Elephas maximus indicus: one gene and its partner. The protein of the gene in region 1 purifies or fractionates together with the protein of each later gene. This does not show direct contact. Links are inferred from orthologs where the notes say so. Each region holds a gene or a part of one and is shown on either strand. Other genes may lie near its edges. The genes, in order: BBS7 and BBS4.

Region 1 (15,985 bases):
GAATATAAAAAAATGAAGAAACCCTAAGAATCATGTGGGACTCTATCAAGAAGGATAACCTGCGGGTGATTGGAGTCCCAGAACAGGGAGGAGGGACAGAAAACACAGAGAAAATAGTTGAAGAACTCCTGACACAAAACTTCCCTGACATCATGAAAGAAGAAAGGATATCTATCCAAGATGCTCATCGAACCCCATTTAAGATTGATCCAAAAAGAAAAACACCAAGACATATTATCATCAAACTCGCCAAAACCAAAGATAAACAGAAAATTTTAAAAGGAGCCAGGGAGAAAAGAAAGGTTTCCTTCAAGGGAGAATCAATAAGAATAAGTTCAGACTACTCAGCAGAAACCATGCAGGCAAGAAGGGAATGGGACGACATATACAGAACACTCAAGGAGAAAAACTGCCAGCCAAGGATCATATATCCAGCAAAAGTCTCTCTGAAATATGAAGGCGAAATTAAGATATTTACAGATAAACACAAGTTTAGAGAATTTGCAAAAACCAAACCAAAACTACAAGAAATACTAAAGGATATTGTTTGGTCAGAGAACCAATAATATCAGATATCAGCACAACACAAGGTCACAAAACAGAACGTCCTGATATCAACTCAAATAGGGAAATCACAAAAACAAACAAATTAAGATTAATTAAAAAAAAATACACATAACAGGGAATCATGGAAGTCAATAGGTAAAAGATCAAAATAATCAAAAAGAGGGACTAAATACAGGAGGCATTGAACTGCCACATGGAGAGTGATACAAGGCGATATAGAACAATACAAGTTAGGTTTTTACTTAGAAAAATAGGGGTAAATAATAAGGTAACCACAAAAAGGTATAACAACTCTATAACTCAAGATAAAAACCAAGAAACATGTAACGACTCAACTAACATAAAGTCAAACACTATGAAAATGAGGATCTCACAATTTACTAAGAAAAACGCCTCGACACAAAAAAGTATGTGGAAAAATGAAATTGTCAACAACACACATAAAAAGGCATCAAAATGACAGCACTAAAAACTTATTTATCTATAATTACGCTGAATGTAAATGGACTAAATGCACCAATAAAGAGACAGAGAGTCACAGACTGGATAAAGAACCACGATCCATCTATATGCTGCCTACAAGAGACACACCTTAGACTTAGAGACACAAACAAACTAAAACTCAAAGGATGGAAAAAAATATATCAAGCAAACAATAAGCAAAAAAGAAGAGGAGTAGCAATATTAATTTCTGACAAAATAGACTTTAGACTTAAATCCACCACAAAGGATAAAGAAGGACACTACATAATGATAAAAAGGACAATTGATCAGGAAGACATAACCATATTAAATATTTATGAACCCAATGATAGGGCTGCAAGATACATAAATCAAATTTTAACAGAACTGAAAAGTGAGATAGACACCTCCACAATTATAGTAGGAGACTTCAACACACCACTTTCGGAGAAAGACAGGACATCCAGTAAGAAGCTCAATAGAGACACGGAAGACCTAATTACAACAATCAACCAACTTGACCTCATTGACTTATACAGAACTCTCCACCCAACTGCTGCAAAATATACTTTTTTTTCTAGCGCACATGGAACATTCTCTAGAATAGACCACATATTAGGTCATAAAACAAACCTTTGCAGAGTCCAAAACATCGAAATATTACAAAGCATCTTCTCAGACCACAAGGCAATAAAACTAGAGATCAATAACAGAAAAACTAGGGAAAAGAAATCAAATACTTGGAAACTGAACAATACCCTCCTGAAAAAAGACTGGGTTATAGAAGACTTCAAGGAGGGAATAAGGAAATTCATAGAAAGCAACGAGAATGAAAATACTTCCTATCAAAACCTCTGGGACACAGCAAAAGCAGTGCTCAGAGGCCAATTTATATCAATAAATGCACACATACAAAAAGAAGAAAGAGCCAAAATCAGAGAACTGTCCCTACAACGTGAACAAATAGAAAGTGAGCAACAAAAGAATCCATCAGGCACCAGAAGAAAACAAATAATAAAAATTAGAGCTGAACTAAATGAATTAGAGAACAGAAAAACAATTGAAAGAATTAACAAAGCCAAAAGCTGGTTCTTTGAAAAAATTAACAAAATTGATAAACCATTGGCCTGACTGACTAAAGAAATACAGGAAACAAATAACCCGAATAAGAAACGAGAAGGACCACATCACAACAGAACCAAATGAAATTAAAAGAATCATTTCAGATTATTATGAAAAATTGTACTCTAACAAATTTGAAAACCTAGAAGAAATGGATGAATTCCTGGAAAAACACTACCTACCTAAACTAACACATTCAGAAGTAGAACAACTAAATAGACCCATAACAAAAAAAGAGATTGAAACGGTAATCAAAAAACTCCCAACAAAAAAAAGCCCTGGCCCGGACGGCTTCACTGCAGAGTTCTACAAAACATTCAGAGAAGAGTTAACACGACTACTTCTGAAGGTATTCCAAAGCATAGAAAATGACGGAATACTACCCAACTCATTCTATGAACCCACCATCTCCCTGATACCAAAACCAGGTAAAGACATTACAAAAAAAGAAAATTATAGACCTATATCCCTCATGAACATAGATGCAAAAATCCTCAACAAAATTCTAGCCAATAGAATCCAACAACACATCAAAAAAATAATTCACCATGATCAAGTGGGATTTATACCAGGTATGCAAGGCTGGTTTAATATCAGAAAAACCATTAATGTAATCCATCACATAAATAAAACAAAAGACAAAAACCACATGATCTTATCAATTGATGCAGAAAAGGCATTTGACAAAGTCCAACACTCATTTATGATAAAAACTCTTACCAAAATAGGAATTGAAGGAAAATTCCTCAACATAATAAAGGGCATCTATGCAGAGCCCACAGCCAATATCACTCTAAATGGAGAGAACCTGAAAGCATTTCCCTTGAGAACGGGAACCAGACAAGGATGCCCTTTATCACCGCTCTTATTCAACATCGTGCTAGAAGTCCTAGCCAGGGCAATTAGGCTAGACAAAGAAATAAAAGATATCCGGATTGGCAAGGAAGAAGTAAAGTTATCACTATTTGCAGATGACATGATTATATACACAGAAAACCCTAAGGAATCCTCCAGAAAACTACTGAAACTAATAGAAGAGTTTGGCAGAGTCTCAGGTTATAAAATAAACATACAAAAATCACTTGGATTCCTCTATATCAACAAAAAGAACACCGAAGGGGAAATCACCAAATCAATACCATTCACAGTAGCCCCCAAGAAGATAAGATACTTAGGAATAAATCTTACCAAGGATGTAAAAGACCTATACAAAGAAAACTACAAAGCTCTACTCTAAGAAATTCAAAAGGACATACTTAAGTGGAAAAACATACCTTGCTCATGGATAGGAAGACTTAACATTGTAAAAATGTCTATTCTACCAAAAGCCATCTATACATTTAACGCACTTCCGATCCAAATTCCAATGTCATATTTTAAGGAGATAGAGAAACAAATCACCCATTTCATATGGAAGGGAAAGAAGCCCTGGATAAGCAAAGCACTACTGAAAAAGAAGAAGAAAGTCGGAGGCCTCACTTTACCTGATTTCAGAACCAGATACAGCCACAGTAGTCAAAACAGCCTGGTACTGGCACAACAACAGGCACATAGACCAATGGAACAGAATTGAGAACCCAGACATAGATCCATCCACGTATGAGCAGCTGATATTTGACAAAGGACCAGTGTCAATTAATTGGGGAAAAGAAAGCCTTTTTAACAAATGGTGCTGGCATAACTGGATATTCATTTGCAAAAAAATGAAACAGGACCCATACCTTACACCATGCACAAAAACTAACTCCAAGTGGATCAAAGACCTAAACATAAAGACTAAAACGATAAAGATCATGGAAGAAAAAATTGGAACAACCCTAGGAGCCCTAATACAAGGCATAAACAGAATACAAAACATTACCAAAAATGATGAAGAGAAACCAGATAACTGGGAGCTCCTAAAAATCAAACACCTATGCTCATCTAAAGACTTCACCAAAAGAGTAAAAAGACCACCTACAGACTGGGAAAGAATTTTCAGCTATGACATCTCCGACCAGCGCCTGATCTCTAAAATCTACATGATTCTGTCAAAACTCAACCACAAAAAGACAAACAACCCAATCAAGAAGTGGGCAAAGGATATGAACACACATTTCACTAAAGAAGATATTCAGGCAGCCAACAGATACATGAGAAAATGCTCACGATCATTAGCCATTACAGAAATGCAAATTAAAACTACGATGAGATTCCATTTCACACCGGCAAGGCTGGCATTAATCCAAAAAACACAAAATAATAAATGTTGGAGAGGCTGCGGAGACATTGGAACTCTTATACACTGCTGGTGGGAATGTAAAATGGTACAACCACTTTGGAAATCTATCTGGCGTTATCTTAAACAGTTAGAAATAGAACTACCATACAACCCTGAAATCCCACTCCTGGGAATATACCCTAGAGATACAAGAGCCTTCATACAAACAGATATATGCACACCCATGTTTATTGCAGCTCTGTTTACAATAGCAAAAAGTTGGAAGCAACCAAGGTGTCCATCAACGGATGAATGGGTAAATAAATTGTGGTATATTCACACAATGGAATACTACGCATCGATAAAGAACAGTGACGAATCTGTGAAACATTTCATAACATGGAGGAACCTGGAAGGCATTATGCTGAGCGAAATCAGTCAGAGGCAAAAGGACGAATATTGTATAAGACCACTATTATAAGATCTTGAGTAATAGTAAACGTGAGAAGAACACATACTTTTGTGGTTACGAGGGGGGGAGGGAGGGAGGGTCGGAGAGGGTTTTTTATTGATTAATCGGTAGATAAGAAATGCTTTAGGTGAAGGGAAAGACAACACTCAATACATGGAAGGTCAGCTCAATTGGACTGGACCAAATGCAAAGAAGTTTCCGGGATAAAATGAATGCTTCAAAAGTCAGCGGAGCAAGGGCGGGGGTCTGGGGAACATGGTTTGCAGGGACTTCTAAGTCAATTGGCAAAATAATTCTATTATGAAATCATTCTGCATCCCACTTTGAAATGTGGCGTCTGGGGTCTTAAATGCTAACAAGCGGCCATCTAAGATGCATCAATTGGTCTCAACCCACCTGGAGCAAAGGAAAATGAAGAACACCAAGGCCACACGACAACTAAGAGCCCAAGAGACAGAAAGGGCCACATGAACCAGAGACCTACATCATCCTGAGACCAGAAGAACTAGTTGGTGCCCGGCCACAATCGACGTCTGCCCTGACAGGGAGCACAGCAGAGGACCCCTGAGGGAGCAGGAGATCAGTGGGATACAGACCCCAAATTCTCATAAAAAGACCAAACTTAATGGTCTGAATGAGACTAGAGGAATCCCGGCAGCCATGGTCCCCAGACCTTCTGTTGGCACAGGACAGGAACCATTCCTGAAGACAACTCATCAGACATGAAAGGGACTGGTCAGCGGGTGGGAGAGAGACGCTGATGAAGAGTTAGCTAATTATAGCAGGTGGACACTTGAGATTGTGTTGGCAACTCTTGTCTGGAGTGGAGATGGGAGGAGAGAGAGAGAGAGAAGCGGGCAAAATTGTCACGAAAGGAGAGACTGAAAGGGCTGACTCAAGAAGGGGAGAGCAAGTGGGAGTAGGGAGTGAGATGTATGTGAACTTATATGTGACAGACTGATTGGATTTGTAAACGTTCACTTGAAACTTTAATAAAAGTTAATAAAAAAAATAAAAAAATGGAAATTTTTATTACAAATTATGCAAGCATTTTATGGAAACAGAAAAAATAGGGGGTGAAAGCCCATAATCTTTCAATTAATAACCAACTAAAACTTCCTAATGTATTTCTCAACAGTCCTTTCACGTAATTGTGGTCATAGTATACACACCATTTTATTTCCTGCCTTTTAACTTATCCGTATAACTGGAATGCTTTTCACATTGCTATACAGCCTTCATTATTTTCACTTGTATATAGTCCACAGAGTCGATGCACCATTCCCCCATTATTGGACAGTTAGGTCCCTAATTTAAAGATTGTTTCAATTATGACTTCTTAACTACTTCCTGTTGTTTTCATAGACTAAATATTCAGAGTTAGGTTTATGGGGTAAAAGGTTAGGTTTATAGGTTGCCATGCCTATTGCTAAAGTGACTTTGAAAAAGGTTTTATTACTAGTTTATGCCATCACAAGCAGTTGATGAGTGTGTCTTACAGCATACAGTGTTATCATTTAAACCTACATTCCAATTTGAAAGGCAAAATAGAAAGACATCCTGCTTTGATATGATTGATTACAGTGAGAGTAGTAGTTTTCTACATGTTTGTTCAGTAGTCACCTCTTTTGTGAACTGTCTATTCATATCGTTACCTGTTCATTTATTGGAGTCATAGTATTTCTTAATTTTATTAATTTGTTTAAAGAAGTTAACTCTTTGTAAATGTTTTCCCAAATTTTTGTTAATTTTTTTTTTATTTTTGTGACATAGAAATGATTCATCATTACTTCTCATATCTGATTTTGTTTGTGGTTTCTTGTATTCCCTCTGAGACGAGACAATTCCCTTCCAACATATTAAATTCTATAAAATTCTACACAATTTTATTTCCTCTGATCTCCTGTATGGTTTTACTTCTCTATTAACTTCTAAAATTTCTCTGATAAGTATTTTTCTGTAAAGTCTAAATTGATAGATGTATTTTCCCCAAATTGCTGAACAGGTAACCCATCCTCATGTATTGTTGTCTGTTATTTTAGCCTCAGAAAAGGAATTGGCCAGAACACCCTGGAAAAACCCTAGGCAAAAATCTTCTCAGATCCTTCTGCAGGAATTCAGTTCTCTTCCTAATTTCACTTTTTCTCAGGGATTTAATTCTTCTTGTGTTGTTTCACAATCATTTGTGAACCCTCCTCTGTAGTAGATCACAGAAATCAGGAAAAGGGCTCTATCATATTCATCTGAATTTTGACAGGCAGATCGCGTTGTGAACTAAGGAAGAATTGACAAAAGTGAGTCAAGGAATGTCAGCTCTCAGTCAGATTCTAGGTCACTATAAAAAAAAAAAAGGCCAGTGATGTTCAAAGTGTAGTCTGCAGACCCCTGGGGTTCTCTTAGGCCTTTTCTGGGGTCTGCAATTTTGAAACTATCTTCATAGTAACACAAAGACATTATTTGCCTTTTTCGCTGTGTTGACATTTGCACTGATGGTACAAAAGCAATGGAGGTTAAGACTGCTGGCGCCTAAGTATGAATCAAGACGATGTCTCCAAACTGTATTAGTAGGCACTGTATCCTTCATGCCACACACTGGCAGGAAACCAAATAAGGTTTTATATGAACATGGCCTTCATGGAGCAGTAAAGATTGTTAACTTTAAGCCTCAATTTGAGTACATGTCTTTTTTTTTTTTTAATATTGTGGGATGACATGGGAAGTACGCATAAAGCACTTCTGCTGAATACTGAAGTACATTGTCTCAAGGAAATGCACTTGTGTGATTATATGAGTTGCTAGCAGAACTCTGCTGTTTTCATGGAACATTAGTTTTATTTCAAAGAACGACTGACAAACTAAGATTATTTGGACTTGTTATTTAGCATACGTTTTCTCATTAATTCAAGAAGGAACCTATCGGCTCAAGGAAAACAACTGACATTTGTCGCCCATGCTTAAAATTCGGGTTTTCAAGTATAAATTAGAATTTTGGAAAATTTGTATCTACCATATGAGTTTGACAGCTTTCCCATGCTTCAAGAATTTTCTGATGAGATTTGTGGCGGTTTTAACAAATAGGATTTTTTGATACTGTATCATGAAGCCAGACTCCGTATTGCAACTAACCTTTCAAAAACGACTACTTGACTAGTTTGGACCAAATTTTCTCCATATACTTCAACAAAAATAACAAATAGCAATAGATAGAATGCAGAAGCAGATCTGGGACTCCTGCTGTCTACTACTAAGGCAAACAATAAATAGAGGCAAACAACGCCATTCTTTTTATTTTGGAAACTGTATTTTTCATTAAAATGTAATCTATGCAATGGGTTTATTTTTAATGAATTAAAAAATTTTTCAGCTCTAATTTCTAATACAGTAAATATCAGTAGAAAACTCACATGAACAAAAATTCTTTGGGGTCCTCAATAGTTTTAAGGGTTTTGTAAAAAAGCCCTGAGGGCAGAATTTTGAGAACTGCTATTGTAAGCTAACGCTTATAACGGTGGAGCCGAATTCTTCCCTTCGCACTAACGAAGTGAAGTAGGTTAGAGTCGACCGGGGACTCAAACCTGAGCTCCACACAGCAGGAGGCATGCTCTGAGGGAAAGAGCTAGGAAAGCAGGGCAAAGGGAAAGGGCTGGAGCCAAGACTGCGTCTCTTGTCTCCCTGGAAACCGCCCTACCTTGGTCCCCTGGACCGTGTCCTGCGTTCCTCACCGCCTCTGATTGGAGCAGGTTAAGGTAGTAGGCGGGCTGTGGGCGCGTGGGCGGGGCGTATTTTCGTCCAGGGACTACTCACGTGAACGTACTGACGTCACGACCGACGCTGCTGCCCCGACGCCCTACCCCTGCATCCCCCGCCGGAGGCCGCGGTACGTGGGCTTGCACCTCAGAGGGGGACGCGGGCGGCCTTCGTCGCCGGGTCCGAGGCCTGAGGGCCCGCAGCGCCTGTCTTTCCTGTTCTGGCCCGGCGCTGCCCGGCGCGTCAGTGCAGCCGTCATGGATCTGAATTTAAACCGAGCAGATTATTTACAGGTAAATCCGAGGGGGTGGGGCAAGCGCCGCGCTGGCTGAGCTTCGCGCCCTGAGAGGATTCGTTCTTCCACAGACCTCTGTCCGGGTCTCCCGGTGCGGACGCGGGCTGGGCGCGAAAGAGCCCGGCCGGGCACCGCCCTCCCGGCGACCCTCTCGCGGGGAGCGGGCAGGTCCGGCTGGTGGGTGACGGTCCGCTGGGACTTGGAAAGAAGTGACACACGCCCCCGCGGACCTGGCGCCTGCTGAGGGTGCTCTCCCCGGATTTCGCTTTAGGGCCCTTTTCCTCCGCCTTCCCGGCTGCGGCTCCCTGTGGGCCTGAAGCTCCCTGATCTGTCTCTACCCCGCACCTTCTCCCGAGCGCCAGACCCATGGTCCCAACTTTGAGCCGGACAGCACCAGGCAGATCATAAGAAAAGCAGTGGCAACCCATTAGTGATCATCTAGTTCATTCTAAGAGTTTTACGTAAATATTTAGTCCTCATAAAAGATTCTGCAAAGTGGATAGTCTTAACAGATGAGGATCCAGGGGCTTAGAGAAGGTAAGCAGTTTGCTTAATACCAGAAATGATGGAGAGTCTCTATTTGAAACAAAGTCTTGGATTCCACAGTTTTTCTTTCTCTTACACCACATTTTCTCTCAGGATTTCTTTCAGCCTCCTCGAAATAGATCTAAGACTGAATTCGTTATCTGTCTCTCCCATCTCCTCTATTTAGATTAATAGTACAAATGGTTGCCCAGTCAGTTTCCCTCAAGCTAGAAATTTGGGAGTCATGCTAGGTACTCTCACCTTAATCTCTTACACGTTGAACTGGCCACCATATCTTGCTGCTTTTATGTTCTAAATGTTTCTTCAATCTGTCCCATTCCCCCCATGGCCATTACCCCAGTTCAGATTGTCATCTTCTCTGGCTTGGATAATTGAAATAACCTCCTAACTGGGCTCCTGGCCTGCAGTTTCACCTACCTTCAGTCCATTCTTCGCATTACTTGCTAGACTGGTATTCCAAAAATACAAATCTAAAGAGATTATTACCTTAAATGTTAATACTACACCCCAGAATGCAGAATAAAATCATAGATCTGTATTACATGTAAGTTCTTTCATAGTTCTTTCCTAATCTTTTTTTTCTCCAGCTTCTCTCTCAATAGCCCTATACTTCTCATCTAAGTATATACCACTAGTGACAGTTCCCTGCTGAACAAGCCATGGTGTTTTCATCCTCCCTACCTTACGTAAAATAATCTTTACCATTAGTTAGATTGGATGTTATCAAGTCATCAGCATGTCTGGTACTTTAGCAAAATTTTTCTGTTTCGTTTTTAATAAAGCTAATCTATTTCCAAAGATTTTTAATCACTTAAAAAAACTCTTTAACAAGTAGTATGAATTTATAAAAAAGGCTTCTAGAAGTATTGTTTTGTGAAGCACCTTACCAGTAATGCCACATAATTATTTTTGGCTTGACAACTCTCTGGATATATTTTGCTATTTTTGGTTATTTTCCTATATTCTCTCTTTTGTGACATAATTCATTAGAATATAAGTTTGTCATTGATAATAATAGTTACATCATTAATTGCAGTTTAAAAAAAAGACTCACTGTGATATGAAACTGGTGATTCTTTTACATCTGATGTAATAACTTCAAATTGCAGTGCATAAGAGAACATTTAGCAAATGCTGGTGTGTTTTCTTAGGTAGGAGTGACCGCTCAGAAGACTATGAAGCTACTTCCTGCCTCAAAACATAGAGCTACACAAAAGGTACTGTATGGATAATGTTTTACAGAGAAAGATTTATATTTCCTTCATCATTGTTAAGTTGCTTTTTTAAAAATGCTAATAGTAAATTGGAACTGAATTTCTTGTTATTTGAACAGAGGTCAGAATACCAAGGGTCATTTACACACAATAATTTTCTTGCACATTATAATTGCATTATGTGTAATTAGTAAATCATATTAGCAAACCAGTTAAAAACCATAATATAGTTTTTTCTGCTAATAATTTACTCTGTGTGTATCATATTGTGTATATGGAGAAGGAAATGTAAAATAGGATATAGACAAAATGATTTCTTTAAACTTTCTCATATCTCTAAGAGGAATTGAAACTTTAAGTAAATAATTACACACATTTGTGTTTAATAGTATCATTATTTTTATAGAAATACTTATCTTATGATTTCTGCAATTACAATTTCTTAGTATGGAGCCCTTGTGGCGCAGCCATTAAGAGCTCAGCTACTAACCAAAAGGTCAGCAGTTCGAATCCACCAGCTACTCCTTGGATACCCTATGGGGCAGCTCTACTCTGTCCTGTAGAGTTGCTTTGAGTTGGAATTGAGTTGAAAGCACCGGGTTTGGTTTTGGGGGGGTTTTAGTAGGCTAATAGGATATTTTAATAGCTTCAAAGTGAGTACGGTATATATCAAGATACAGCAGTAGGTTTCTGATTGTCATTTATTGTATTCAGCCTATTAGATCAATGATTCACAAACTTCTGGGTCTCAGGATCCCTTTACACTCTTAAATTACTGATGATCTTAAAGAACTTTTGTTTATATAGATTATATCCATTAATACTTATATAAAAATTAAAACTGAGAATTGTTTAAAATACTAATTATTTTATTTGAAAATAATAAATCCATTGCATGTTTATATAATCATTTTTGTGAAAAGAAGGTATTTTCTAAAACAAAAAAAGAATTTAGCAGGAAGAAAGGCATTGCTTTATATTTTAATATAATGCCTGGTAGCAAAGACAGCCGAATGCTCATTTATTTTCTGTATTCAGTGTGTTGTGATACCTTGTTTTGGTTGAAGTGTATGAAGAAAATCTGGGTCATACAGATGTGTAGTTGATAAAAGGAAGCAGTATTTAAATACCTTGACCTACGATAGTTTCTTTAGGTGCCATGTGGAATCTGAAATCATGTTGATGAACTTTTCATACTCTGTTACATTAATATCCATTGGTCTGTCTCGCACTTTGAATCTTTTAAAAACCCTGCATGATTTTATTGCACCCTCGATGATTTGAGATTATTGGTTCATCAAGTTATACAGATCTTCCAAATATTGATACATTTCATTATGTTGTTGTTGTAGTTGTTATGTGCCATCAAGTCAATTCTGAGTCATGTTGTTGTTGGTAGGTGCCATCAAATCAGAATAGCAACCTTATAGGAGAGAGTAGAACCGCCCCATAGGGCTTCCAAGAGAGTGCCTGGTGGATTTGAACTACTGATCTTTTGGTTAGCAGCAGAGCTCTTAACCACTATGCCACCAGGGCTCCTTCCAACTCATAGGGACCCTGTGTGACAGAGTAGAACTGCCCCATAGGGTTTCCAGAACATGCTCAGGATTTCTCAAGCTGAAAGAACTGAAGAAAGAATTCAAGCCTCGAGTTGCAGTACTGAAGAATGCTACGGGGAAAATATTTATTGATGCAGGAAGCATCAAAAGAAGATGGAAAGAATGCACAAAACACTATACCAAAAAGAATTGGTCAATGTTCAACGTTTTCAAGAGGTAACATGATCAGGAACTAATGATATTGAAGGAAGAAGTCCAAGTTGCACTGAAGGCATTGGCGAAAAACAAGGCTCCAGGAATCGATGGAATACCAGTTGAGATGTTTCAACAAATGAATGCAGCACTGAAAGTACTCACTCGTCTATTCCAAGAAATTTGGAAGACAGCTACCTGGCCAACCAACTGGAAGAGATCTGTATTTATGCCTATTCCCAAGAAAGGTGGTCCAACCAAATGCAGAAATTATCAGACAATATCATTAATATCACACACAAGCAAAATTTTGCTGAAGATTATTCAAAAGTGGCTGCAGCAGTAAATCAACAGGGAGGTGCCAGAAATTCAAGCCGGATTTAAAAGAGGACATGGAACTAGCGATATCATTGCTAATGTCAGATGGATCCTGGCTGAAAGCAGAGAATACCAGAAAGATGTTTACCTGTGTTGTATTGACTATGATAAGGCATTCAACTCTGTGGATCATAACAAATTATGGATAACATTGCAGAGAATGGGAATTCCAGAACTTTCAATTGTGCTCATAAGGAATCTGTATGTGGATCAAGAGGCAGTTGTTCAAATAGAAGAAGGGGATGCTGTATGGTTTAAAATCAGGGAAGGTGCGTCAGGGTTGTATCCTTTCACCATACCTATTCAGTCTGTGTGCTGAACAAATAATCCAAGAAGCTGGACTATATGAAGGGCATCAGGATTGGAGGAAGACTCGTTAACAACCTGTGTTATGCAGATGATATGACCTTCCTTGCTGAAAGTGAAGAGGACTTGAAGCACTTACTGATGAAGATCAAAGACCACAGCCTTCAGTATGCATTACACCTCAACATAAAAAAAGCAAAAATCCTCACAACTGGATCAATAAGCAACATCATGATAAACGGAGAAAAGATTGATGTTGTCAAGGATTTCATTTTACTTAGATCCACAACCAACACCCATGGAAGCAGCAGTCAAGAAATCAAAAGACACATTGCATTGGGCAAATCTGCTGCAAAAGAGCTCTTTAAAATGTTGAAAAACAAAGATGTCACCTGGAGGACTAAGGTGCACCTGACCCAAGCCGTGGTGTTTTCAATTGCCTCATATGCATGGGAAAGCTGAACAAAGAATAAGGAAGACAGAAGAATTGACGCTTTTGCATTGTGGTGTTGGCAAGGAATATTGAACATACCGTGGACTGCCAAAAGAACGAACAAATCTGTCTTGGACGAAGTAAACCAGAGTGCTCCTTAGAAGCAAGGATGGCGAGACTGGGTCTTAAATACTTTGGACATATTGCCAGGAGGTATCAGTCCCTGGAGAATGACATCATACTTGGTAAAGTAGAGGGTCAGCCAAAAAGAGCAAGACCCTCAACAGGTTAGACTGACGCAGTGGCTGCAACAGTGGGCACAAGCAGAGCAACAATTGTGAGAATGGTGCAGGACCAGGCAGTGTTTCTTCCTGTTGTGCACAGGGCCGCTATGAGTCAGAACCGACTGGGCAGCACCTGACAACAACAACAATCTTTACAGAAACAGATTGCTACATCTTTTTCCTGAGGAGCTGCTAGTGCGTCGAACTACCGGCCTTTTGGTTAGCAGCCTAGTGATTAACCACTGTACCCCGCAGGGCTCCTTATTGATTTCACCAGAAAAATCAGTAAGTGTTGGGAAGCTGTCAGGCTCACAGTAGCAGATACAAATCTTCCAAAATACTGATTTTCACTTGAAATTTCAAGTGTTATCGATGGCAACAAATACTGTCAGTTTTTTCCTTCAAAGTGACAGGCTCACTTCCTTCAGTTTCAAGAAAATGCTGAATACCCAAGTGTTAATAACTATAGCTCTTAGTTGTTCTTTCAAGTTAAGGTGATGTTTCTTGAAAAAAAACAGGTAGTTCAACTCGTAATTCAGTTACACAGTGCTTTTCCTTGAGACTGTTTTGGTATGCAGCAGAAGTGCTTTTTGCATAGCTCCTATTTCATCATAGTAAGTACTAAAAAGACAAGTACTCATGGGTCGGAGTTTAATAAAATTAATATGTTTTACTGCTTCCACAAGGGTATTCTTATGTGAAACTGGCATTTTTTCTTTTTTTTAGCTATCAAATGGTGATGAAAAATGCAGTGACCACTGGTACAGTTTGGTGTCATTGTTTTGACTCTTATCAGTCATCAACAATTCTTTACCCACCATTGCTTTTTTGCAGGAGCCCTGGTGGCACCGTGGTTAAGCACAAAGCTGCTAATCAAAGGATCAGCTGTTCTAACCCACCAGCCAGTCTGTGGGAGAAAGATGTGGCGGTCTGCTCCCATAAAGATTACAGCCTTGGAAACCTTCTGGTGTAGTTCTGCCCTTCCTGTAGAGTCACCATGAGTTGGAATTGACTCAGTGGCAACAGATTTGGTTTTTATTTTTGGCTTATTGCTCTTGCACCATCAGTGCAGACATCAACCTAATGAAGACAAAGACTTAATATTATTTAAAAATAGTTTCGACCTTGCAGACCCCCTAAAACAGTCTTGGTGGCCCTGTGAGTCCTGGGACCACACTTTGAGAATCTCTGTAATAAATTTTAGGTATGTAAATTATGGAAGTGGTTTATTGTCAGAAATTCAAAACTTTGAACATTATATGTATTTTCATCTCAAGTCTCTGCCAATACCAAAGATCCCCTGAAAATACGTACATAATTATTTGTGAATGTGCATTGCTCTGGGGAGGGAGTCTGTAGCTTTCATCATATACTAAAAAAGGTTTTGATCCCTTCAGAAAGTTAAGAAATCACCGCCTGATGAACATGTCCTGTGAAATAATCAATGTTTTGATATTCGAGACTTGTTTTATATCCTAATGCATTGTCAGTTTTCTAATGTTCTTGTGTGCTCAAAAAGAACATTTATAATTCTTAGGGTGGGTGTTTATACACACACGTACACATATATACTTATGTGCACATATATATTAGATCAGAGGTAATTGTTTTTCTAATTTATATCTTTATCCTTTGTCTACTTGATCATCAGTTTTTGAAAAAAAAAAAAGTGTTGACATCTACTTCTATATTTATTTCTGTAGGGTTGCCATGAGAAATAAATATAGAGGTACATATTCCAAAAAAATAAGAAAGGCAAACCCATGGCCACTGAGTTGATTCTGACTCATAGTGACCCTATATGATAGAGTAGAACTGCCCCATAGGGTTTCCAAGGAGCAGCTGGTGGTAAATTGTCAACCTTTTGGTTAGTAACTGAGTTCTTAACCACTGCGCCACCAGGGCTCCAATCCAACTCTTTTTCAGAAATTGATAATCAAGTAGAAAAAAGGTAAGTGTGTAAATTAGAAAAACAATTATCTTTGATCTAATATATATATTATTTTTTTATATACACGTATACATGTATATGTGTGTCTGTACATGTGTGTGTATAAACGCCCATCCCAAGAATTATAGTATAAATGTTCTTTTCAAGCACACAAGAACATTAGAGAATTGACTATGCATTAAGACATAAAACAAGTCTCAAATATTTAAAAAAAAAAATTTAATATTTCACAGGACATGTGCTTTGGCCATAGATCT
Region 2 (15,744 bases), on another chromosome or scaffold:
CTTTCAAAGAACTAGATGGTGCCCAACTGCCACCAATGACTGCCCTGACAGGGAACACAACAGATAGTCCCTGATGGAACAGGAGAAGCTGGGATGCAGAACTCAAATTCTAGTAAAAAAAAAAAAAAAAGCCAGACTTGATGGTCTGAGACTGAACGGACCCCAGAAGACATGGCTTCCGGACTCTGTTAGCCCAGAACTAAAACCATTCCCAAAGCCAACTCCTCAGACAAAGATTAGACTGGACTGTAAGACATAAAATGATACTGGTAAAGAGTGTGCTTCTTGGCTCAAGTAGATACATGTGACTAAATGGGCAGCTCCCGTCTGGAGGCGAGATGAGAAGGCAGAAGGGGACAGGAGCTGGTTGAATGGACATGGGAAATACAGGGTGGTGAGGAGGAGTGTGCTGTCACATTGTAGGGAAAGCAACTAGGGTCACATAACAATGTGTGTATAAGTTCTTATATGAGAAACTGACTTAATTGTAAACTTTCACTTAAAGCACAATAAAAAAAAATACAAATGTAAAAAATAAATAAGTATACAGCTTTCCATGAGTTCTGTTAAGTCATTCTTGCAAATTGTCAAACCTGAGAGAGTAGTGGGAGCCAGCACGTCAAAAGTGAGGGGGTTGGAGATGCCTGACCTACAACTGGTATCCCAAGGGGGTGGAGAGAACCTCCTAATTTGTATCCAGCAGGTCACGCGTGAGGATCTCATGAGTACTCCCAAGCTTGCATCTAGTGTCTGAAGTCTTGGGCAGACTTGACAGTCTGGACGACTGGGCCCTTTATCTTGTGAGTTCTGACCTAGCACCAGATGGTTAGGGACAAAAGAAGGAATACTGCATATGCAGCTTGCATAAGAACAGAAGTGGAAAAGAGGGGAACTGAATCGATAATAAATTGATTTGGATTGATCAACATAGGTGGTGTGATACGTAGGATATAATTTTCCCAGCAGTTGGTGTCGGACAAGTAGGATTTTTTTTCCATGCAATATATACATACCCTAAGTCTGTATCCATATCCTATACATGCTTGTGTGTGTGTTTATACTCTTTAATTTTACACAAACGGTATTATACTAAACGTTCAGAAAATCGTTTGGTAAGATTTACTGAACTTAAATATATCCTTTCCTATGACCCAGCAATCCTACTTCTAGGTACATATGCTTACCAAAAATCAAGTACAAGACTCTTCATGGTGGCACTATACACAATATCCCAAATTAAAACAATTCAAATGTCCATCAAGAGTAAAATGAATAAACTGTTGTACAGCCCTACAATGAAATGTAACAATGAAAAAAAAAAAAAAAAAAAACTACACGCAACAATATTGATGAATCTCACAAACATTATTTGGGGCAAAGAAGCCAGGCGTAAAAGAGTACATATTGTTTGACTCCATTTATATTAAGTTCCAAAGCAGGCAAAACTAATCATATACCATATGATATGTATGAAAAAAGTTATTAGACACAAATATCCACCTTTGGTAGGAGTGATTAATGACTGGGAGGGGGCATTAGGGAAGCCTCTGGGGTGCTGGTGATGTTCTATAGCATAAAAAACACCAAAAACCAAACCTGTTGCCATGGAGTCAATTCCAACTCACAGTGGCCCTACAGAACAGAAGAGAACTGTCCTGTTGGGTCTTCAAGGAGTGGCTGGTGGATTCAAACTGCTGACCTTTTGGTTAGCAGTCAAGCTCTTAACCACTGTGCTACCAGGTCTCCATGTATCATAAACTAGATGAGAATTACAAATTTCATCTCGGCTGCTAACCAAAAGGTTGGTGGTCTGAACCCACCCAGCAGCTCTATGGGAGAAGACCTGGCCATCTGCTCCTATAAAGATCACAGCCTAGGAAACCCTATGGGGCAGTTCTACTCTGTCGCATGGGGTTGCTATGACTCAAAATCAACTCTATGGCACCTAACAACAACAATATATATATTTATACACACATATGTGGAATGGTCTTCTAGAGCACCGAAAATGACATATTTTCAGAATATCTGTAATGTTCTCAATTTCTACAACTTTTAATTCTATAAAAACAAATCATATCACATACAGTTTTAAAACTGCTTTTTATTTTAATACATGCTAAACATCAATAAATTTATTACTATTATATCATTCTTAAATGATTATACAGTATTGCATTTTGTGGGAGTAATAATCTAATTCCTTATGTTGGATATTTATTATTTTCCATTTCTACTAATATGAACATCAAAATAAACATTTATGCTTGCAATCTTACTGGTTTACAGTAAATTCCTGTAAAAGTAACTGTTGGGTTACAGGTTAGCTTGGGGTTTCCTGTTTATTTTTAGAATATAACTTTTTTAAAATAATACGTACTTTATAAAAACTTCAATCAATACAGAAGAGCGTATTACCACTGTTCCTTAACACTCAGATTTTAAAAGCTCTAATGAATATAGAATAGAAAAATCAAACAGGCAAAGGGAAATCTGTACAAACACGCACATACAATGAAACCGCTATACAGACCTTTCTTCAGCCGGGGTTTTTGAGATTCAACAGATGCAGGAGGCTGAGTTCTCTGAAAGGACAGAAGTCTACGTTAAAGCACCATATACCCTGCTACCTTAAAGAGGCGTTCAAATAATAGGAATAATCAGTGGCTCACCAAAGATGCAATGAATCCATGAACTTCACAGAGGTACAAAGAATTATTCTGAACATAGTTTAAAAGCCAAGTGTCAAGTTGTACTTTCGCTGTCTGAACTATTAATAATGTATAATGTATACTTACAACATCGTTGTTGGGTGCCGTCAAGTCGATTTTCGACTCATAGCAACCCCATGTGAAGCACAGAACTGCTCCATAAGGTTTCTGAGGCTGTAATCTCTACAGGAACAGATCACCAGCCACCGCCAACCTTTCGGTTAGCAGCTAAATGCTTCACAGTTGCACCACCAGAGTTCCTTATTTATAATATATAAAAAATTATATAGTAAAAGATGCACAAATAAATGTACTAAGTTCTCAGACACTTCATTTTAGTATTATACTTACTGCTATACTTTTCAGCAGTCAAACCAAAAAAGCGATCACTGTTTGGTAAGAGGAAGCTTACGAGGTCATCTACATAGAAGTTACCTAGCACTAAATTCTAAGACATAATAGATACTAGCTTACTCTCCCACTTCACAGAAAACCTTCAAATAGATTCTTCTTGTATCAACCTCCTATGTAAGCAAAAATAATGGCTGAAAATTTTCCAGAAAAATGAGGGACACCAATCCTTAGATTCTGGATGCTCAACAAATCTTGATCAGATTAAATATAAATAAATCCACACTTAGATACATCACAGGGAACTGCACTAGAGACAAAGAAAAGTTCTTAAAAGCAGCCAAAGCAAAAAAACATCACCATGTTACCTTACAAAAAAAGGACAGTTGGACTGAGAGCTGACTTCTCAACAACTAAAAATGGAAGACAATGGACTCCGTGTGTTAAGTGCTAAGTAAAAATGAATTTTAACGTAGGCCAGGATTCAGCAAACTATGGCCTGTGGGTCAAATTTAGCCTGTTTTTTAATACATTGTGTGAGCTAAGAATGTCTTTTTATATTTTTTTAATGGTTGAGAAAAATAAAAATATTTTGTAACATATGAGAATTAAATAAAGTTCATATTTCAGGGTCTAGAAATGAAATTTTATTGGAACACAGCCATGCTCCTATATTTATATACTGTCCATGGCTGCTTTCACGCACAATGGCATAGTTTAGTTGTGTTGGAAACTGGACAAACCCCAAAATACTATTATTTGATCTTTTACACACTAAGTTTTCTGACCCCTGATCTAGGCTCTCATACCCATCAAAATTAACTTTAAAAAACAAAGGTAAATTGAAAGACTTCCAGACAAATAAAATTTGCGAGTTTTTAGACACGTACTAAATAAACTTTTAAAAGATACATACCAGGAAGAAAAAGAGTAACCCCAGAACTCATGAGTAGAACGAGTAAAGAAATTGATAAAACATGTAAATATTCTGTAAGCTGACTGACTAAATAAACAAAAAAAAAACAGTAATGTAAATTTGTGATGTTGAATTGAAAAATACAAAGAACTACAAAACTGAACAACAGCATAAACCCGCAGATAAAACATTCAATAGTCCCTGTATTATCCAAATGAGAATAAACAGTACTAAGTTTTTTGTAATTAAGTATGAAAGCAAGTTTTATAAATTAAGTAATTTAAGTTAAATGTCTTAAATTTAAACTTTAAACTTTCTTTGTTAACCACTAAAGGAAGACAAATAGAGTATATAACTTTCAAACTAGGAGAGGGACTTAAACGGGGGAAAAGCAAACAAACAAAAAAACTCAGCCGTAAAAAAGAAGCAAGGGAGAAGGAAAAAAAGAAAATTCTCCAGTTAGAAGACATATTCTCAGGATGGCTTTAAAAATATCTAAACATGTGCTATTTGTATAAAGACATCTAAAACATGAGAAAAAATTTAAAAAGCAAATGGATACAAAAAGATATACCAGGCAAACAGAAACAAAAAGAAAACCAAAGTTGCAATATTAAAATCAGACAAAATAGATGTTAAGGGAAAAAGCTTCATCAGGAAAATGAAATTTGATTAAGACAGATTGAAGACTAAAATGGAAAAGGTAAAACTTTAAAACACTTAGAGAAAAAATCACTAGAAATGCTCTAACTACAAACTATTAATGAGAAGCTAGTTTGTTCTATAAACCTTCATCTAAAGTACAATAAAAAAAAAAAAGAACCCCTATGAAGCTGGTACTAATCACTGACCCCATTTTACAGATGAAGAAATTGAGGCCAGAGAAATTAAGTACTTTGTCCCAGCTCATCCAATTTATAAACAACAGTGCTGGGATTTGGATTCTGGCAGTCTGCATCTGGAGCCCCGGTGACACACTGGTTAAGTGTTAAGCTGCTAACCAAACGGCTGGCAGTTCAAATCCACCAACCGCTCCCTGGAAACCCTATGGGACAGTTCTATGCTGTCCTACAGGGTTGCTATGAGTTGGAATCAACTAGGTGGCAACGGGTTTGTTTTTTTTTTTTTTAATCTGAATCTGTGTTTTAACCATTACATATCTCCTCTCTCCATACCATCCTCTAACATCAAGTGATCTTTCCAGCCAAAAACATAAATTTGATGGTGTTATTCGCCACTTAAAATTCTTGACTGCCTTTCCAATGCCTAAAAAAGTTTTCAAACCCATGCCCACAAAACACTGTTGTTCCCTGTGGTGTTTGTGGGGGTTTGCACCAATTACTAGAGTAAAAGTACTGAATTAAATAAAATTAAATCAAATCTTAGGAAGCAATTTTCTTCTTAAATCTTTTGTTACTTGAAACTATTTTCTTAAACCATTGCTGGTGTTTTCTTAAACATACACTTCGCATACAACTCAGCAACTCCACTCCTAGGAATCTACCCGAGTGAAATGAAAACATGTCCATAGAAAGGCTGGTTACCAACATTCATACCAACATTATTCATAATAGCCATAAACACGAAACAATCCAAATAGCCATGAAATGGTGAATGTATAAACAAATGTATACATCCATACGATGGAACGCTACTTAGAAAGGAACAAATTACTGCTGTACGTAACAACACAGATGAACCTCAAAAACAAAAGTGAAAGCTAGACACATAAGACTACATGTCATATGATTTATTTGAAATTTCTAGAAAAAGAAAACCTATAGGAATCCCTGGGTGGCACAAATGGTTAACCAAAAGGTTGGCGGTTCGAACCTACCCAGAGGCACCTTGGAAGAAAGGCCTGGCAATGTGCTTCCGAAAGGTCATAGCCTTTAAAACTCTATGGAGTGCAGTTCTACCCTGCAACACATGGGGTCACCATGAGTTAGAACTGACTGAAGGGCAACTGCTTTGGCTTTTTATTTATAGAGACAGAAAGCAGACAAGCAGGAGCTGGCTTGGGAATAGAAAATGGGTGCAAATGGGCACAAGGGAACTTTTTGGAGTGAGGGACATGTTCTAAAGTGGGCTGTGTTGACAACTGTGCAACTATATAAATTTACTAAAATTGATCAAACTGTACACTTAAAATGGGTTAATTTTATGGCATGTGTATTATACCTCAATAAAGCTGTATTTAAAACACTAAAGAACTTAAACTTTTTTTTTTCACCTAACTGGGTTTTTTGTTTGTTTGTTTGTTTACTTTGGGGAACATACTAAGGAAAAAATCTTAAGAGTTCAAAAAGCGTCTCCTCTAGCTTCATGATTAATTCCCTACTTTTTGCACAAAGTAGAATTAAAATAAGTTATAATCATAGAGGCCAAAGTTCATCAGTGGTTACCAGGGCTGGGTGGAAGGGGGAAAAAGGGTGGTACTGCTTAAGGGGTATAGTTTTTCGGTTTTTTTTTTTTTTTAAGGGTGATGAAAAACGTGGAAACAGCGGTGACTGTTGCATGACATCATGAATGTAATTAATGTCACCAGACTCATAAAAATTGTTGAAATTTCTTGCTACATATATTTAGCCACAGTGGAAACTTTTTTTTTAAGCTACAAAAATTATAATAATTTAAATGAGTATTTTTCCTCAAAAGACTTTCCAGAACATTCTGAAATGGAAAGATTTCTATCAGCTCACTTAACCTCATTCAGAGTCTGGGATACACATGGAATAAATCCCTTCTATTTTTTGGTTCTTTCTTCATTTTTATGTATGGTTATTTATTCACACAACAAATATTCATGGAGCACTGTATCTGAGCCAGATCAGCCAATGCAGTGCTAATGTTTTTTATTCCCCCCACCCCGTTCCGAAAGGTTTTAATCGTTTAATTTACAGGTGAAAAGACATTTATTCATACAAATATCTCATATAATGTGAATTAGGGAGTCATAAAAGAATTTCTAAATCATGGTTATCTAAGATCTTTGTTCAACTTAAAACAGAGCTATTTGTGCTCCCCCCCCCTTTTTTTGTAGAACTCTAAACAATTTATTATATATCCTTGTACAAAATATAACTATCGGTCTCCATTTTCCTCCCTAAGGAACTAGTAATAACCCGTAAGTTGCCTGGTAGCATATTAGAATTTCTGTGTGATCCAAATTGGGTTAGTTTCACTCAGTTATACTGGGAGATCTCCCATCACTCAGCCAAAGGCTGCTATTTTATTACCTCCTACGGAAACCCTGGTGGCTAGTGGTTAAGAGCTCCAGCTGCTAACCAAAAGGTCAGCAGTTCGAATCCACTAGGCGCTCCTTGGAAACTCTCCGGGGCAGTTCTACTCTGCCCATTAGGGTCACTATGACTCGGAATCGACTCGACCGCAACGGGTTTGGTGTTGGTTTGTTTGTTTGTTTTATGTCTTCCAGGGACTTTTTCCAAGGGTAATAAATTCTGAAATCAGCCTAACAAATAGGCGGAACGTGCTCTGAAGCCCAATACACTAAAGCAAGGTAGACCGATAAAGGTTTCACACTTGGGACTTTTTACAAATTACTTCCACTTACTACTGGGTCATCTGAATTTATCTGGGCTACTTTTTACTCTGTATCAGCAGCTCCGTAGAGTTTAATCAACACCTAATTTAGCCTCCAATGAATCCCAAAACAGTGCTTTTCTCAATCACAACAGAGAAAACCGGCCCCACCCCACCGGCAGAAGGCAGTGGCTATGAAAACGTGCAGGCTTTGTCAAATTAAATTCCTAATCCAGGGGATTAACAAAAACTTGTCTCTTCATGTGCAGTACTGCTTCCATTCCAAACCACGTGAGACAGAGAAGACGGAGCTAGGAAAAGAGCCATTTCTGGTGAAAATCTCGCTTTTCAGCCCAGCGAAGCCCAAGGGGGACCAGAGTGCTAGAAGGGATCCGCCGCAGCAGATTCGGGCCCGTCGGGGCTGGCCAGACCCTGGGGGAGCAGGAGCGGGATCGCGTCGCCCCACCCACCCCGAGCAGCTCAGGATCCGACTCCGCAAAGCCTCAGGAGCGGCTGCGTGGGACTAAGGCCCGGAGCCAGGGCCCAGCGCTGGCCAGCCTGTCTCGCCTCCCGGCCCGGCCCGGCCCTGCCCAGCCCTGCCCTGCCCAGCCCTGCCTGGCGGCCTGGACTCTACGGAGAATCACAGCGCTCACCGTCACAGGTCGCTCCTCGGCCATCTTGGCTCCGCCCACTGCTGCGCGACCGGAAATCGACTGTTTCCAAGGCGACTAGGCAAACGGAAGTCGTGGGACTGGGGACGGCGGCGGATGAGGCGGGTAGCCTAGCAGGAAAGGAAGTAGGTGGCAGAGCCTGAGACTGCGGCTGGGAGACCAAGAGACCTCAGGAAGCTGGGAGGGGGTCGGGGTCCACCCTACTGGAGGCTTGGCTCTGAAGGACCTAGTCTTTCCCTTTATTCTGGGCATCTCCTAATGCCCACACTAAAGTCGGGAGGCTGCTAGAGAAACCCTGGGCCGCGCGAGTGCACATGGCCAGCCTCACCTAGCACTGCAGCGAGTCTTTGGGAGTTCTCGGGCCTTCTTTCGCTGCCCTGCTCTGGCCTCGCTCTGCGTTTACTGCAGTCCTCCATCCGGGAGTCCCGCCCCCCAATCCCGGGCCTATGGCAGAGTCTCATCTACTCTTACATACAAAACCTCTTCGTTTCTTAGCTGCCAATATCCTGCAGACAAATTCGCCTCATCGGCCTCCCATTAGTATCTATGCCTGTTTGAAAACACGCTGTGTTTGAGCCACAGTCTTGCTTTTTGGAAATATATTAAAATCATGAGGTTTCATCAGAATGCCAGAAACCCAGTCTCGGGATAAATAGAAGAGCAGATAATAGGCGTACTTTCCTACATGGCAATGAAATGAGTATGAGTAGCGGCTCCGACTTAAGATAAGCGTTTGTTGGCTGTTTTGGCACAGTCCTTACTTTGCAGCACATACCCCAGTTTCCTTTACCTATCTGGACCCAGATGTGGTGAATTAAATGCTAAAGTTTCTTCACTGTATTATCCTGGGAAAACTGTGGGCTTGGGAGTCAAACATGAGTTCTGGTCTTGATTATACCTCAGCCAGTCATTTCTCTGAGCCTCATTCATTCAACAAGTGCCAGAATTATGTGATGAACAAAACATACAGAGTTCCTGCACCCAGAGAACCAACTGTAGAGTTATGAAAGAGCCCCAAAAATCTAGGTGCTTGGCATGAGGAGAGTTTTCTGCAAAAGATGTAGGCCGGACTCCATTATTTACTCCTCATTCTGAGCTGAATCTCAAAAAGTCAGCTAAGCCAGAATACTTCAGGAAGGCTGCGGTCTCTCCCCTCCCTCTCACAGCATTATTCCAGGAAGAATACACACTCAAGCTGCCCCCCCAGATATCCATAGGTTAACAAGAGGTTAACTGAAACTTTATGATTAACAAAACAATGCTTAAGGGATCTTGCAATTGTCTGGTGCCTGTTAAATCATTATTTTGTGTCAACCAATCAGAATTTGTTCCTTGTAAGTTCCTGGACTTTCTGTACTTAAACTCTGTGAAAAAATCCTTTCACTGGAGCACTTTTGTGAACCTTCACAAAGTGATGCCCAATCCAAATCATTTTATTCCTTTAATGAAACTCTTTGCTTTAATTTTAACAGGGATTCCAGTTCCTTTTCGACATTCCTTGGTGTTGGAAGTAGGATTCAAAGGGGCCTTATCTTCAGTGATCCTAAGAGGTTGAGGACCTTGAGCTCTGTCACCAACATGAGCTCATTGCATTCATCCGTCTCCACAAATTTTGGGGAGTAGTTAGAGTAAGGCCTCTCAAATTCCAAGCTCTGCTTTCTTGTGTTGAGCTCTTTGAGATTTGTTGAAGGATCTGTCTAATTTTGTTCTGACTTTGTTCTTGCAAGAATTTGCCTCTGCTAGTGGCAGTAGTGTGAGGTTCTGGGCCAGTTGGCAAATTGCTGTCCTACAGGATTTCAAGTTTGTGATATATCAGGCTCCATAAGATTTTGTCCAGTCAGAGAGTCTAAAACTTTGAACAAACTTGAACCTTCTTTTAAAAAGGGAAATGCCATATCTAGGGGCTATATGGAATTCCCTTCTGGGACTCCTGTCTGATATATGGACAAGCACTGTGGCTCTGCTGCCTGCTTGTACCTGCTGCTTAGCATAGTCTTTCTAAGGACAGTCTGAAAAAATATGTGGCCATAATTAAACAGAGTTTTTTGTGCAGTAAACTAGAAAAGAAAGGCTCGCAAATGGAACAAAAACAATGGGATGCTTATTTTAATTGGTATTTTGCAGTATCTAGAATATGTGATAAGAGTAAAATAGTTTCTCTGCTAAATTAACTAAACAAAATAAGGAATTGCAATGTCAAATTTCTGTCCCAACTACCCAAGTTGTCCTGAGACAGAAAAAGAAGTATTGGTGGGGACAGTTTTTTGAGGCTGCCTCTCATTGCTCTATATGTTCTCGCTATAACCCAGACAAACCTTTTAAAGTTTCACCTGGGAAATGCTCATTACCTTCAGGACCTATGCTTGAATGGCAATTAGATTTTATCCAGCTCCCACCTTCAAATAGTTGCAAATACGTAGTAGTGATGATTTTCAGATTTTCACATAGAGTAGATTTTCCTAGCCACCATGCAGCTACAACCTTTGTAGCTAAGAAACTTCTTGAAAACATAACCCCACTTGGGGAGAACCTACAATTCATTGCAGTGACAGGGGAACCCATTTTACTGAACAAGTAATTAAAGAAATATGTAAGATTTTTCGTATTTATCAAAGATTTCACTGCCCTTACCATCCACAATCTTATGGGCTAAGTAGAAAAAAACTAATGAAATAATAAAAACTCAATTAGTCAAGCTTTCTGAGTCCTTAAGCTTATCCTGGACTAAGGTCCTTCCATTAGTCCTTCTAAATTTGAGATCCACTCCATTGGGTTACATAAATTAACCCTACATGAAATTATTACTGGAAGACCTATGGCTCATTTTTACTTTTCATCTTATTCTGATTCTAATTTAGTTCAACCAGAATTATTTAAATATTGTCAGTCTTTGATTCAGTACTCTAAAGAGCACCTTTTCTGAATCAAACAAGCTTTTGACAGGCAAAATTTAGAAATACAAAAATTACCTACTATTGAACCAGGTGACTGTGTATACTAAAAGAGGCACCAATTACAAGATTCCCTGGAGTCTCATTGGACAGGACTGTCTTTGGTCTTTGTCACTAACCCTTGTGCTGCTAAATTATAGGAGGTTAAAATTTGGATCTGCTTATCCCAAATTAGGGGCTCCGGTGCCACAGTGGGTAATAGCTTGGCCACTAACCAAAAGTTTGGCAGTTCAGATCCACCATCCACTCCTTGGAAACCCTATGGAGCAGTTCTACTCTGTCCTATAGGCTGACTATGAGTCAGAATTGACTTGACGGCAATGCGTTTAGGGTTTTTCTGGGGGGAGGGGAGTGGAAGCAGGGTTATCCCAACTTGAGAAAGCTGAAGCCCCTGCCTGGACTGTTAAACCTACTGAAGGATTTAAACTGAAGTTCAAACACCCTTGTGGCCAGAACCAGATGGTGTCAAAGTACACAGCTCCTCCCAAGATCACAGAACAAGATTTCATGCAACCTACTGAAATTTTTGGACTTTGTTTCCTGATTACTGGTTTTCTTATGGTGGCTTTCTTTATTACACTGTGATATTAACTCTTGTTTTAATGTCCTCTTTTTCCATGCAAATAACAAAGGAAGAGTTTGCTTTATCATAGTTATCATTTTTATTTGTCTTATTGTATTTTTTTGTACTCTTTTTGTGTGTGTGCTTTAGGTGAAAGTTTATAGCTTAATTTCTCATACAAAAACTTATATACATATTGTTATGTGACACTAGTTGCAATCCCTATAAAGTGACAGCACACTCTCCCTTTCCACCCTGGTTTTCCTGTATCCATCCAACCAACTCCTGTCCTTTCATGCCTTCTCATCCTGCTTCCAGAAAGGAGTCACCAATTTGGTCTTGTAGATCTGCTTGAACTAAGAAGCACACTCTTCATGAGTATTATTTTATAGCTCAGTCTACTCTTCGTCTGAAGAGTGGGCTTTGGGAATGGTTTTAGTTCAGGGTTAACAGAGAGTCCGGGGGCCATGGCTTTGGGGGTTCCTTCAGTCTCAGTCAAGATCATTAAGTCTGTCTTTTTTTAATGTGAGTTTGAGTTCTGCTCCAAACTTTTCTCCCACTCTGTCGGGGACCATTTTTTGTGTTCCCTGTCAGGACAGTCATTGGTGGTAGCTGGGCACCATCTAGTTCTTCTGGTCACAGGTTGATGGAATCTTTGGTTTATGTGGCCCTTTTGTCTCTTGGGCTAATATTTTCCTTGTGTATTTGGTGTTCTTCATTCTCCTTTGTTCCAAGCAGATTGGGACCAATTGATGCATCTTAGATGGTCACTCACAGAGCTTTTAAAACCCCAGATGCCACTCACCAAAGTGGGATGCAGAACATTTTCTTAATCAATTTTATTATGCCAGTTGACCTAGATGGTCCCCAGACCCCAGCCCCAGCTACTGTGTCTCTCAAAGTGTTTGGTTCTGTTCAGGAAACTTCTTAGCTTTTGCTTTAGTCCGGTTGTGCTGACTTTCTTTGTATTATATGTGGGCCATCCCTTCACCTAAGATGACTCTATTTTTTTCTTTTATTTATTATTATGCTTTAGATGAAGGTTTATAGAACAAACTAGGTTCTCATTAAACAATACAAGTATTGTTTTGTGATATTGGTTACCAGCCCTATGACATGTCAACACTCTCCCTACTCGACCCTGGGTTACCTATTATCAGTTTTCCTGTCTCCTCCTGCCTTCTAGTCCTTGCCCCTGGGCTGGTGTGCCCCTTTAGTCTCATTTTGTTTTATGGGCCTGTCTAATCTTTGGCTGAAGAGTGAACCTGAGGAGTGACTTCATTACTGAGCTAAAAGGGTGTCTGGGGGCCATACTCTTGGGGTTTCTCCAGTCTCTATCAAGCCAGTATGTCTGGTCTTCTTTTGTGAGTTAGAATTTTGTTCTATGTTTTTCTCCAGCTCTATTCAGGACCTTCTATTGTGATCCCTGTCAGAGCAGTCGGTGGTGGTAGTCGGGTACCACTTAGTTGTGCTGGACTGAGTCTTGTGGTCCATTAGTCCTTTGGACTAATTTTTCCCTTGTGTCTTTAGTTTTCTTCATTCTCTCTTGCTCCCAATGGGGTGAGACCAGTGGAGTATCACCTAAGATGATTCTTGTCTACTATCTAGTTAGTGAATTCTGTTCTCCCTCTCTCTCTACCCTGGTAACCATCAAAGAATGTTTTCTTCTGTGTTTAAACCTTTTCTTGAGTTCTTATGGAAACCCTGGTGACATAGTGGTTAAGAGCTACAGCTGCTAGCCAAAAGGTTGGCAGTTCGAATCCACCAGGTGCTCCTTGGAAACCCTATGGGGCAATTGGGAGTATGTAGCAAGGTGTATATAAGTTTTTGTGTGAGAGACTGACTTGATTTGTAAACTTTCACTTAAAGCACAATAAAAATTTTAAAAAAAGAAAAAAAGAAACCCTATGGGGCAGTTCTACTCTATAGTAGAACTACTCTATAGTCCTATAGGGCCACTATGAGTCGGAATTGACTTGATGGCAATGGGTTTGTTTTTTGGTTCTAAGTTCTTATAATAGTGGTCTCATACAATATTTGTCCTTTTGTGACTGACTAATTTCACTCAGCATGATGCCCTCCAGATGTTTTCTGGATTTATCATTATTCCTTATTGTTGCTAGTATTCCCATTGTGCACATGTACCATAATTTGTTTATCCATTCATCTGTTGATGGGCACCTAGGTTGTTTCTAGTTTTTTGCTATTGTGAACAGTGCTACAATGAACATGGGTGTGCCTAGATCTATTCGTGTGACGGCTCTTATTTCTCTAATATATATTCCAAGGAGTGGGATTGCTGGATCGTATGGTACTTCTATTTCTAGCTTTTTAAGAAGCATCAAATCGGTTTCCAAAGTGGTTGTACCATTTTACATTCCCACCAGCAGTGGACAAGTGTTCCAGTCTCTCCACAACTTCTCCAACATTTATTAGTTTGTGTTTTTTTGGATTAGTGCCAGCTGTGTTGGGGTGAGGTGGTATCTCATTGTAGTTTTGATTTGCATTTCTCTAATGGCTAATGATCGTGCGCATTTCCTCATGTATCTGTTAGCCACCTGAATGTCTTCTCTGATAAAGTGTCTGTTCATATACTTTGCCCATTTTTTAATTGGGTTATTTGTCTTTTTGTTGTTGAGGTGTTGCAGTATCTTGTAGATTTTAGACATTAGACCCTTATTGCATATGTCATAGCCAAAATTTTTTCCCAGTCTGTATGTTCTCTTTTTACTCTTTTGGTGAAGTCTTTTGATGAGCTTAAGTGCTTGATTTTTAGGAGCTCCCAGTTACCTAGTTTCTCTTCTGGTGTTTATGCATCGTTAGTTATGTTTTGTTTTCTGCTTATGCCATGTATTAAGGTTCCTAGTGTTGTCCCTATTTTTCTTCTATGATTGTTATTGTTTTAGATTTTATATTTAGATCTTTGATCCATTTTGAGTTAGTTTTTGTACATGGTGTGAGGTACGGGTCTTGTTTCATTTTTTTGCAGGTGGATAACCAGTTATGCCAGCACCATTTGTTAAAGAGACTATCTTTTCCCCCAGTTAACAGATTTGGGGCCTTTGTCAAATATCGGCTGTTCATAAGTGGATGAATTTATGTCTGGATTCTTAATTTTGTTCCATTGGTCTATGTATCTGTTGCTGTACCAGTATCAGGCTGTTTTGACTACCGTGGCAGTATAATAATTTCTAAAATCAGGTAGTGTGAGGCCTCCCACTTTGTTTTTCTTTCTCAGTGATGCTTTATTTATCTGGGGCCTCCTCCCTTTCCATATGAAGTTTGCAATTTGTTTCTACATCTCGTTAAAAAGTGCCACTGGAAGTTGAATCAGGATTGCATTGTATCTGTAGGTCGCTTTGGGTAGAAGTGACATTTTCACGATGTTGAGTCTTCATACCCATGAGCATGGTTGTTTTTCCACTTTTGTAGGTCTCTTTTGGTTTCTTGCAATAGTGTCTTATAGTTTTCTTTGTATAGGTCTTTTACATTTCTGGTTAGGTTTATTCCTGAGTATTTTATCTTCTTGGGGGCTATCGTAAATGGTATTGATTTGGTGATTTCCTTTTTGTTGGTGTAGAGGAATCCAACTGATTTTTGTATGTTTATCTTGTATCCTGATACTTTGCTGAAATCTTCTATTAGTTCCAGTAGTTTTCTTGTAGATTCTTTGGGGTTATGTATGTATAAGATCATATCATCTGCGAATAGGGATACTTTTACTTCTTCCTTACCAATTTGGATGCCCTTCATTTCTTTTTCTTGCCTTGTTGCTCTGGTTAGGACCTCCAGCACAATGTTAAATAAGAGTGGTGATAAAGGGCATCCTCGTCTGGGCCCCGTTCTCAAGGGGAATGTTTTCTGACTCTCTTCATTTAGATTGATGTTGGCTCTTGGCTTTGTATAAATATTCTTTATTATGTCAACGAATTTCCCTTCTATACCTGTTTTGCTGAGTTTTTAATGTGAAATGGGTGTTGGACTTTGTCAAATGCCTTTTCTGCATTGATTGATAAGATCATGTGGTTCTTTTGTTTTA

Evidence for each region.
Region 2: the proteins of BBS7 (region 1) and BBS4 purify together in Homo sapiens (co-immunoprecipitation; 7 studies listed by BioGRID and IntAct, counting the BioPlex papers as one, with this or other methods). This does not show direct contact. The link is inferred for Elephas maximus indicus from reciprocal best matches to the Homo sapiens genes BBS7 and BBS4.

The regions. Positions count from the first base shown.
Region 1 is NC_064823.1:25,331,749-25,347,733, forward strand, and holds the start of BBS7 (Bardet-Biedl syndrome 7 protein), read left to right. Parts: upstream 1-8,665; 5' UTR 8,666-8,827; coding exon 8,828-8,863; intron 8,864-10,562; coding exon 10,563-10,628; intron 10,629-15,985.
Region 2 is NC_064831.1:62,864,337-62,880,080, reverse strand, and holds the start of BBS4 (Bardet-Biedl syndrome 4 protein), read right to left. Parts: upstream 8,229-15,744; 5' UTR 8,199-8,228; coding exon 8,175-8,198; intron 2,586-8,174; coding exon 2,534-2,585; intron 1-2,533.